Linked DNA regions of Arabidopsis thaliana. The protein of the gene in region 1 purifies or fractionates together with the protein of each later gene. This does not show direct contact. Each region holds a gene or a part of one and is shown on either strand. Other genes may lie near its edges. The genes, in order: PIP2A, ABCG34 and VHA-A.

Region 1 (3,758 bases):
AAAATATCCACTGTTTGTAATCACCAAAATTTCAAAACATTATTCCCTTGTAAAAATGAAAAATATAGTTGAATGTAATGGAGAAACGTTGAGGTCTTACGTGGTCATCCCATGGCTTGCTCTTGTTGTAGATTACGGCAGCTCCGAAACTCCTTGCCGGGTTAATTCCGGTTCCGGTAATGGGAATGGTAGCCAAATGTACCATGAACACGGCAAATCCGATTGGAAGTGGCGCCAACACCTTTTATTTCATCAAAATTCAAATTTATTAGTATGATTGAAATCAAATGTTGGTTTGGTTTGCTTTGGTTCCGGTTTTGAGTCGGTTAACCATATTGAAGATTAATAGCACTACATATGTGACTCACCGGAACGTGGGAGTCTCTGGCACTACGTTTGGGGTCAGTGGCAGAGAAGACGGTGTAGACAAGAACGAAAGTACCAATGATCTCTGCGGCTAGACCGGTCCCTGTGCTGTAGCCATCGGCTAGAGAGTTGGCTCCACCTCCGTAACGGGTGTAGTAAGAGCTTTGGAAGGCTTTGACAAAACCAACTCCACAAATCGCACCCAAACACTGAGCGATTATGTACAATAGGGCCCTAGGTAACGACACTTTACGTGCCAAGAATAGCCCAAATGTCACCGCTGGGTTAATGTGACCACCTAAGGAAACAAAAAGAGTTGACAATGTTACCAGTACTTGAGAATTAAGGTACAACAAGCAATTAATTAACCGGTTTCAATTCTGGTTAAGACAGGGTTAGTCAGTTGCTTAAAATAATTACTAGGCTTAGATTAGATATATATCATTCGGATAAGAACCGATTTGATCATGACCCTTATTAAATGTTTTATAAACAAATCATTTTCGTCTTTTAAACCTAAGATTTTAAACCGATTAAATAGTAATGTCAACCAAGCAATATTTTTCCTTGCAAAATAATTAATTTCGAATAAACAAACCAAAACCATACCATATAATTTTTACTTGTCTAAATTTTGAGTTTGCAAGTTGTACTTACATAAGTAAAACTTATTCAGCTTATTCGGTTTAATTGTAATTCTAATACTCAAAAAGTGTATAATCTTAATCTAAACCAAACCAAAATCAAGATTAAAGAAGGATCATACCAGAGATACCGGCGGTGCAGTAGACGAGGATGAAGATCATACCACCAAAGGCCCAAGCGATACCGAGGATTCCAACTCCGCCGCAATCTACGCCACCGGCATCAGTATCGGACTGAATCTTGTAACCGATGACTGTCAAAACGGTGATGTATAAGAAGAGGAGAGTGGCTACGAACTCTGCGATAACTGCTCTGTAGAAAGACCACTTCTTTAGCTCCGCTCCATCAATAAACGGAGCTGGTGGCGGATCTTGATAGTCTCTTGTCTGAAATCCTTCTCCGGGAACGGCTTCCACATCCTTTGCCATAGTTAACTTCTTCTTCTTTCAAACAATAGCTTTTTTTTCTTTTGCTTCTCTGTTGGAGTGGTTAGTGAGAAGAACATGTGCTCTGTTTTATAGTGAGAGCTCTCCTTCTTGTTAATTTGTTTGTATACTTTTTTATTGCTTTATCTTTTAAAAAATATTTTTAGTATTTTTGCCAACGTTATATGTTTTTTTGGTTTTTTGTGTATTGAGGTTTTTTTTTGGAATGAAAGTTTGTATTTTCAATGAAAAAATTGGATATAAAAGTATACGAGTGAGTTATGATTATTATTATTATGAGGGAAGTAGCTTTGACAAAATGATTATGAACTAGCTGTCCTGAAATAAATTTTGAACCAATTCTATTTAATGATTGCTTGATATATCAATATCATACATAGTTACTAATACGTAAAGACAAGAACCCTAGTTTAATTTCAGACTTAGAGTTTTTCAATCGTTGAAATTTGAAAAATTCAAATAAGTTAGCCAGTAAATTTCTTTAAAATTTGATTCGAGTTTATTTTAGATCCTAAATTAGAATAGTTTATTCTATTTAACGTTATAGTTTGCACCAAGTCCATGACAAAAAGATTGATCCAAATCTATTGAACATGCGTCTATAAATACATGATAATGATATGGGATTAGCTAGCTTATGATATCATAAAACAAGACTTTATATCCACTCATATAAACTTGCATAGTTTTATCTCTCGTAGCAATAGGAAGTATCAATCAGTGGTGATGGTGGAGAGCTATCAGAACCACAACTTTGAAATAATTTATTAGTTTTTATGTCAATCAAATTTTTATATGTTTTTCTGGTAAATAATGGAGGTTTTTTTTGTTTACTTTAACTTAGCCTCGCCGCCCCCATCACCTAAATGTCATTTTCTTTAGGACCGACCCAATATACTATATCATCAATATGGTGCTCTCTTCTTTTTGTCGTATAATATCATAGCCTGTCGATTTTTCAGATTTAAAAAGCCACAGTTTTTGTATGCCAAATCATTTTAAAATAACTTACGTCCACTTTTTTTTTTTATCGAATCAGCATTTACATTCTTGAAAACACATAACAAAACTCCAAAACCTTATTTTGCTCCAACGAAGCATGGCTAAGTTTCTTCACTCCAAATCCAACTAATCATGCATGGTTATATTCGAGTGTCTCATTGTATATATAGAGAACATTTTTCTTGTTCACCAAAGTCAAAACACTTTGTTTTCAAAATAGATAGATATATGGTCATTCTCTTACATTATAAACATTTTTGTAGTCTAGAAGGTCTAGTTTTCTATCACCAACATATGTTATTAAGTATGTTTGAGGTGTCATAAAACAAAACCCTACTTGAAGATGTTAGAGCCGGAACTCAAAATTATGACACAATATTAAAGAAGCATAAACTATTTCGTTCACAAACTTTCATTTCAAACTTAATTGACGATAAGTAAATTGATTCGTCGTATATCTTATCACACATAACTCAAATTAGCATTTAAGTTGATATTACTAACATAAAGTAACCAAAGCCTAAACGAACCCTTTTTCATAATTGTTGTGTTGGTATATCACTCTCTAAAACCAGGGTGTAAAGTTATGGTGCCGTTTTGTGGGGTGGGTCGAGATTCCACTGAGGTTAAAATCATATGGTCTGTGTTGGCAAAAGGTGACACGTGAATGGGTGGCGCGCGTGACTAACCGACCCGATCCCTCCGACAAACGTATCGTCACCGTCCAATCCATCTCAGCATATAGCCGTTTGTTCGCTCAACCACTCACATAATGCCACGTTTGTTGTCCCCACCAATCATTTGCATTTTCTCTTCATATCCAAAATTTCATATCTTTTGCGAAAATTGCTGACAATTAGACTGAAAACGAAAATATAACAAAACAATAAATCCCAATAAAAATGACAAATTGTGACAACCAAACAAAAGACAGGAGATGCAGTTCCATGGTTATCGTTTTGCCATGTGGCAAACCTTATCGTTTTGGCTACGTTGGTCGGCTACTATTAGACGAATATTCCACGTCAGCCAACTCTTTTTTCTCATGTTTTTCGAAGTGAATTTTAGATAATAAAAGCACAGAAATGTGAATTTTCTGGTTCTGGTTCTGTTGTTAATTGTTATTAGTATGTTTATTTATATATTTTACACTTTCTTCTATTCATAGAAAACTAGTCTTAACCTTATCTAAATATTCTAGACAAATCGAGTTACATATAGTATGACGTCGTTATGCATAAATTTTGTCCTTTTTAGTCACTCCAATTGAAAGAATTAGTCCAGAATGTACTACAGCAA
Region 2 (3,758 bases), on another chromosome or scaffold:
GGTAAAAAGAATTAAACTCATATAAGAATTGAACTTTCCTAATCGAAGTCAGTGCAGCCTTTAAACTCAGAAGTTCAACGTGCGATATTTGCAAGCCTGACACCTCAAACTTATTCACACTGAGAATGCATGGTCGACCATCTGAGGTCATGTTTTGTCATTGTTCGGCTAACGAAAGCACTATCAAACAAACAACAATTTGTAAAGAGAACCAGAACTAACCAAAAATATCAAACGTAATGCTGTTAAAAGACAAAACAAAAAAATTCGATTGCATTTGGTGTCCAATTAAGATGAAACTTGAGAGTACCTTCCCGATGAATTTAGCTCTATCTATGCATCGTAGTTTATACTGTTAAAATGAAATTGTGGTAGTTTCATGTATTTGTTAAAGTGGAAATAACCCTATTAAAAATGCCCAACAATATTACATGTCGTCATGCGCAAAGACTTTAATCTTTTTTTTTCAACTGAATTTTCTAAATTTCCCTTAAAAAATATTTTAGTTTTCCCCCCCATTTTATTATGATATTTATGACACAAGCAATTACATCACTACGAATAGACACGAGAGACACGTTCAATCCGTAATATTAGTATATTACTTTGTTTAAATTAGACACACTACCTACAATATCAACAAAATTAAACTAATCAAATCATCACAGAATTTGTAAAATTGTAACTCAACGAGATAATGCTATAAGAATCCACCGTTTGCGGCAAAATCACTAATTTTTTTTTTTTTTTTTAATTGAAATTGAAAGCATAACTTCGTTGGAAGAAATTATGCGATGGAATTTAATTATTTTTTACAATTCACACACATTCCAAATCCTCAATTTGAATTTTAAAACGACAGAAAACAAAAATTAATAGGCAACAATTTTGATTTAGTACAAAATAATTCCGTTGGAGGAATTTCAGTTGATACTTAAGTAAAAGATCATGCATGTGTTAGATTTTAATGCAATTTTATTAAAAAAGCACCTTGAAAACTTTTAATAGTATGGACGACTTACCATTTACTTACGATTATGAACATAGCAAACAGTTAGACGGATTATGTTGAATGTTGATCGTCTGATCACCATACAATGTAGATTTCTTACACCTAATAACACGACTGTACTATGTAGCAATAAACGTCTGAACAGTAGGTGACAATCCATCAACTCATTTGGACATCCATTATCAAAACTAAATATATGTAAAGCAGACTAAATATTGGACTAACTAATTTTACTAAAATATTCACCTAAACTAATTACACTGAAAGCTAGGAAATACATCTTAATTATATATATATATACGTCTATATTTATTTTGTTTATAAAATAACTATGATATGTTACAAACAATATAATATAAATAAGATATACTAATTCATCAGAAATTCAATGTTATTCTTCATAGTAATTTATTAAAATAAATTCATAAGAAGTTATCTGATACAAATATGTAACACGCACATATATCACATCAATTCAACATTTTATCTTTCCTATATATAGTATTGAATTTTATTTGATATTTTCTATCTAATTGAGATCGATTTAAATATAGAACTAAATTTTTTCAGTATATTTTATCGAAATGATGTAAAATAAATCATATTTACCATTTACGTCTGAACAGTAGGTGGCAATCCATCAACTCATTTAGACATCAATAGTCAAAAACAAATATCTGTAAAACAGACTAAATGTTGGACTAACTAATTTTACTAAAAAAAATTATATGATACAAATAACTAACAAACACATATATCAATTCAACATTTCATTTTTGCTATAGATAGTAATTAATTTTATTTGGGATTTTATAACTAATTGAAATCGATATATATATAGCTAGTAATTCTTTTTAAGTATTTTCTATCGGAAAATAATATAAAATACTATTTAAATCATATTTAACAGTTGTTAGTCTTACTAGACAAAAGAAAACAGACAAAAAAAAAAATTGTATTATAAATAAAAAAAATATTGTCACTCGAAGCCTTTAAACTCGCCTCTTCTCTCTTCTCTCTCACTCCAGAGTTTCTCTCTCCCCTTTAAATGGTCGCCGGAAACTAAATCGTCTCGAACATTCATTAGTAAAACCGGACGACTCAGCGGCGATGTTAGGACGAGATGAAGATCTGGTCCGAACAATGAGCGGGAGAGGAAGTTTAGGCTCCACAAGTCACCGGAGTTTAGCCGGAGCTGCTTCAAAAAGCTTCAGAGATGTGTTTGCTCCCCCAACGGACGACGTGTTTGGTCGGAGCGATAGACGAGAAGAAGATGACGTGGAGCTCCGATGGGCGGCGCTTGAGAGATTACCGACTTACGATCGGTTAAGAAAAGGTATGTTGCCGCAAACGATGGTCAACGGTAAGATTGGACTTGAAGATGTTGACGTCACGAATCTTGCTCCTAAGGAGAAGAAACATCTTATGGAAATGATTCTGAAATTCGTTGAAGAAGATAACGAAAAGTTTCTTCGGCGATTGAGAGAAAGAACTGACAGGTCAGATTTTCAGACAAAACCAAAAACAAGAACAACAACTCTTTTTTTTTATTACAACTTTTGTCTCGTCTGACAAATTTTTTTTTTTTTTTTTGAAACAGAGTGGGAATCGAAGTTCCGAAAATTGAAGTAAGGTATGAGAATCTTTCAGTGGAAGGAGATGTTCGTAGTGCAAGCAGAGCTCTTCCTACTCTCTTCAACGTCACTTTGAATACAATCGAGGTTCAGTTTTTTTTTTTTTTTATTGGATTAACTTTGTCTTGTTCAATGTTGTTGAGAAGATCTAAAAAAGATAAAACCTAACTTTACCGCTTTTTGTGTCTTGGCATAAATTTTTAACCTTTTTGGGATTTAGTCTTGTCGGGTCCAAATTAGATATCTTTAAAATGTCAAACTTTATGTGTGAATGTCAAAATTGCATGTAACTGTTGATCTCTTTAATTTACTTAAGATTCTTGTGGTTCTTTGTAAAACAGAGTATTCTTGGATTATTCCACCTGCTTCCATCTAAGAAGAGGAAGATTGAGATTCTTAAAGATATAAGTGGCATTATCAAACCATCAAGGATGACTTTATTACTTGGTCCACCTAGTTCAGGGAAAACAACTTTGTTACAAGCTTTAGCTGGGAAGCTTGATGACACTCTCCAGGTTTGTTTTGTTGTCTATCATATTTATATTATTTATATGTATGTAAGCTCTTGGTTGAGTTAACATTTTCCGGGGTCTGTGACAGATGTCTGGGAGGATAACTTACTGCGGTCATGAGTTTCGTGAGTTTGTTCCTCAGAAGACTTGTGCTTACATTAGTCAGCATGACCTTCACTTTGGAGAAATGACTGTGCGAGAGTCATTGGACTTTTCGGGACGATGTTTAGGTGTTGGGACTCGGTACCAGCTTTTGACTGAGCTCTCAAGGAGGGAGAGAGAAGCTGGAATTAAGCCTGACCCTGAGATTGATGCATTTATGAAATCCATTGCTATATCTGGCCAAGAAACTAGTTTGGTTACAGACTATGTACTTAAGGTACATCTTTTTTGCATGCTTCTGTCTTATTCTAACAAACAATTTTTGACCTTATCCTTGGTTTAATGCCACTTGACAGTTACTTGGTCTGGACATTTGTGCTGACACACTTGTTGGAGATGTGATGAGACGAGGTATTTCTGGTGGACAGCGGAAACGTCTAACAACAGGTACAACTTATGTTCCCTTTGATATTCCCATGGTTCCTTCAGTGAATATGT
Region 3 (3,758 bases), on another chromosome or scaffold:
TAAATAAGGAAAAGGTGCTGTTGCTTTACCCTCTGTTTTCTTGTAATCTCCCTTATAACAGTTTGTTGAATCGTGTGTATATATATTTCCGCATAAGCTCGCAGATTCGGTTCTCATACCACATTTGCAGACTGTTTTGTATGATGATGCCTTGAGTCCAAAATTAACGTGAAAAGAGAATACAATTATAGATATAGGATCGGCAAGTACATGGTGTGGAGGTTAAACAATATCATTACATTTTTCACAAGGTAGTATGCAACAAATCCAATGTACATAAGGGGAAACTACTCTGAAGACTGAAGCTATGAGCATGTAAGCATGAGAAAAGACGAAAAGTATAAACAAAAGCTAGACATATTATGTATCAGAATGTGCTTCTTGTTCTAAAATCTGGCCATTTCCTCGCTTTAGTACACAGTTTCCAAGAGATTGAGAAGTCTGACAGAGCATGGAGAGACAGAACAAGCATAGTCCTGTTTCAGGGAGAAGAACTAGTCAGAGATCATTGGTTTGCAATATTTGACACAGGCAAGACGAAGGGTTTCCCAAATGGCCAACTTTTGTTAAATGCTAAGAAATCCGACATATTGGTATGTAATGCTACTCATAAGGTAACAGCTCACTCTTCCACATTAAAATGAAACTTTGTATAAGTTTGAGACAAAATGTGAATGCTTTATAATTCCATGAAATGCTACTTATAAGGTAAGAGCACACTCTTCCACATTAGAATGAACTTTGTATAAGTTTGAGACAAAATGTGAATGCTTTAAAATTCAATGAAATACTACACTCTTCCACATTAAAATGAAACTCTGTATAAATTTGAGATGAAATGTGAATGCTTTACCTGCATAAGCAACGGTTACACCTGATATGAGTCGCCCAAGCGCTGATAAGAAGTAAAGGCAAATTACGACCTAAAGGAAAAAGCAAAAAACAAACATATTCAGTATAGAGCACAATTACTGAGTTAACAATTAGCAATGCATTTATATGGTAACTGGGTAAAGACACTAGGGTTCTAAGAGAATCTCTGTGGTGATATATTGATGCTAATGCATTTTGATACACTCATGATCCAAGAATAGTAACGGTATCTTGTACATAGTAAGTTGGTAACAAAGGACACACTTACCTTGACAAAAAGTCTCTTGTCATGTCCAGTTGCTGCAACCCTCAGAACACCCTCTGCTGCTCCAACGGTATTAGCTAAGCGTGCAACGATGTTACTTGCTGTGTCCTGTGATATTTGCCACTCTAGTGGATCCACTGGTACCCTTTAGAAAAGTTATAGGATTGTAAATCATGTGGTATGATAAAGCAAGGGTCTTGAAGAGTTATACACACAATGAGCAGAAGATAATGATATCATTGAACATTCTAGGATTATGACTATGCATTGATCACAGAGAACGGAAGATGATAGTAATCAAATAAGATCGATGCATCATTGATTCACCCAGAAATACAATGAGAACTAGTTTCAGTTCATGCCTTCAGAGAATACATGAAATCAATTTCATAATCAAGTTAACATAACTGATTGCACAACCACATTACAAAGTACAACCCAATTAAACAATTATATCGAGCAAGTATTCAAACTTGTCACAAATCAAAGGAGCCAACAAATTTCGTATCTACTCGGTCACCAAACAGCAAATGACTAAATCAGAGACCAAAGAACAAAATCCAATACCGTAACCAGAGAGATTTAGGCGAAAAATGTGAGGGAACTTACGAGACATTGAGTTGGCGAAAAAGGAGACCGAGAATGGCGAGAGAGCATAAGAGAACAATGAAAACATCGGAGAAGAGAGAGAGAAGAGTCGCGTTACGATATGCACAATGGTAATACACAAGCGTCCCGCTAATCAGCAATCCCATCGCCTTCCCCATTTCTCCCATCTCTCTCCCCACTTCAAAAAAAACTTGCTTTCCCTTTCTTCACTTTCAGAAAATTTCCCCGAGAAAACAAAACTGATCACTTTTGTGAATTTTCCGGCTTGATCAGAGAGAGAGAGAGATTCTCAAGCCGCATGTCTTTGTTGACTAAACGGACCCACTTATTGGGCCGTAAGTATATATTATAAAGCCCAATAAATAAACTGTCACGTGGCTATTAACGACAAAGTCCAGATCTACGCGCGTATCGTGTGTAGTCATGTACCGGATCACTCCACGATTTCGTCAATCAGATCAAAACTTCTCCAACTCTTTCAATATCTATCTACGTGCATCCACCTCTCTCTTCTTCTTCTTGTGACCACTCTTCCTGTCTGTTCACTGGTTAGGAGATCTCTATCCCTCTCTCTCTGATCCTTTTTGTTTCTTTCTGATTTATTGTATCGCTCTCTTTGAAAAACCTTAAGAGTTGTCTGATTTTGGCGATTTCTGATTTGTTGTTGTTGTTGTTTGATCGGATCTCGGCATTTTCTAGGAGGTGAATTTTGATTTTTTTGGCCGATCGGATTTGAGTTTTTGAATCTCTGATTGCTGAGAAAATGCCGGCGTTTTACGGAGGAAAGCTTACGACCTTCGAGGACGATGAGAAGGAGAGCGAGTATGGTTACGTTCGTAAGGTATTATCCTGTTTCGTTCGATCTGGTTTCAATTTGTTTTTTTTTCTGTTTTGCGATGTTAGTTTTTGGTGATGGATAGATGAAATAGTTGATCTGCTTACCAGGTAAGATTGGTGGGATAGCTAGATTTGATCTGATAGTTATCAGTGATTGAATCGGTTGATTCCGCGTTGGTTCAGTAACCTCGTCTTTGAATTTCTGATCTGATCTGATAGTTCTCAGTGATTTGACATTTTCTTTTATGGGATGCAGGTTTCAGGTCCTGTTGTTGTTGCCGATGGTATGGCCGGTGCTGCTATGTATGAGTTAGTGCGTGTTGGTCATGATAATTTGATTGGTGAAATCATCCGTCTTGAAGGAGATTCTGCCACCATCCAAGGTTTGTTTCTTCTATTGTGCTTCCTAGTGTAATTTACTTTACGGCATCTTATGTGACCTCTGTCGAAGTAAGATATCTTAACTGATATTTGGCAACTTCCTTTTGATCAGTTTACGAGGAAACAGCTGGATTGACAGTTAATGATCCCGTTCTTCGAACACACAAGGTTCGCGAGTTATTTATCTTGGTTTTTTCTAGTGTTGTTCATCTGCAGCTAACATATAATTTGTCCTGAATTTACTACAGCCACTTTCTGTGGAGCTCGGGCCAGGAATATTGGGAAATATCTTTGATGGAATTCAGGTTCAGTTGGATTTATAATCTTGCTAGACATGATTTTTTTTACTTTTATGATTCGTTTTATGTGGCTTCTTACGATTCTTTGGTTTCATTTCTTTAAATGTCACAGAGGCCTTTGAAGACTATTGCAAGAATATCCGGTGATGTGTACATTCCTCGGGGTGTGTCTGTTCCAGCTCTTGACAAAGATTGTCTTTGGGAGTTCCAGCCCAATAAATTTGGTAATGTGGTTTACTCCATATGCCTGTCTATGGAAGTGTTCATTTGGTTTTAATCTTGATGGTCAATTGAATTCGTTTTGTTTGCAGTCGAGGGAGACACAATAACTGGTGGTGACTTGTATGCTGTAAGTTTATTGGTCTCCTCTTTAATCTGCTTTTGACAAGGGAATCTATTTACACAGTTACCGTGGTGTTTCCCTTGTTTACACTGGGAATAGTTTTTTCTGAAAGTCAAATTAAACTTTGGAATGCAGACTGTCTTTGAGAACA

What was found.
Region 2: the proteins of PIP2A (region 1) and ABCG34 purify together in Arabidopsis thaliana (affinity purification with mass spectrometry, with the first as the bait; one large-scale study listed by BioGRID). This does not show direct contact.
Region 3: the proteins of PIP2A (region 1) and VHA-A purify together in Arabidopsis thaliana (affinity purification with mass spectrometry, with the first as the bait; one large-scale study listed by BioGRID). This does not show direct contact.

Annotation. Positions count from the first base shown.
Region 1 is NC_003074.8:19,804,016-19,807,773, forward strand, and holds the start of PIP2A (plasma membrane intrinsic protein 2A), read right to left. Parts: upstream 1,716-3,758; 5' UTR 1,440-1,715; coding exon 1,133-1,439; intron 665-1,132; coding exon 369-664; intron 242-368; coding exon 101-241; intron 11-100; coding exon 1-10. UniProt on the Arabidopsis thaliana protein: Water channel required to facilitate the transport of water across cell membrane. Probably involved in root water uptake. Its function is impaired by Hg(2+).
Region 2 is NC_003071.7:15,255,461-15,259,218, forward strand, and holds the start of ABCG34 (pleiotropic drug resistance 6), read left to right. Parts: upstream 1-1,957; 5' UTR 1,958-2,122; coding exon 2,123-2,511; intron 2,512-2,612; coding exon 2,613-2,733; intron 2,734-2,987; coding exon 2,988-3,161; intron 3,162-3,246; coding exon 3,247-3,537; intron 3,538-3,616; coding exon 3,617-3,707; intron 3,708-3,758. UniProt on the Arabidopsis thaliana protein: May be a general defense protein.
Region 3 is NC_003070.9:29,657,953-29,661,710, forward strand, and holds the start of VHA-A (vacuolar ATP synthase subunit A), read left to right. Parts: upstream 1-2,135; 5' UTR 2,136-2,295; exon of another isoform or gene 2,296-2,446; 5' UTR 2,447-2,510; coding exon 2,511-2,588; intron 2,589-2,840; coding exon 2,841-2,967; intron 2,968-3,077; coding exon 3,078-3,133; intron 3,134-3,213; coding exon 3,214-3,270; intron 3,271-3,376; coding exon 3,377-3,488; intron 3,489-3,575; coding exon 3,576-3,613; intron 3,614-3,742; coding exon 3,743-3,758. Other genes in the region: AT1G78895 (Reticulon family protein), read right to left, coding at 361-476, 854-923, 1,142-1,283, 1,748-1,914. UniProt on the Arabidopsis thaliana protein: Catalytic subunit of the peripheral V1 complex of vacuolar ATPase. V-ATPase vacuolar ATPase is responsible for acidifying a variety of intracellular compartments in eukaryotic cells.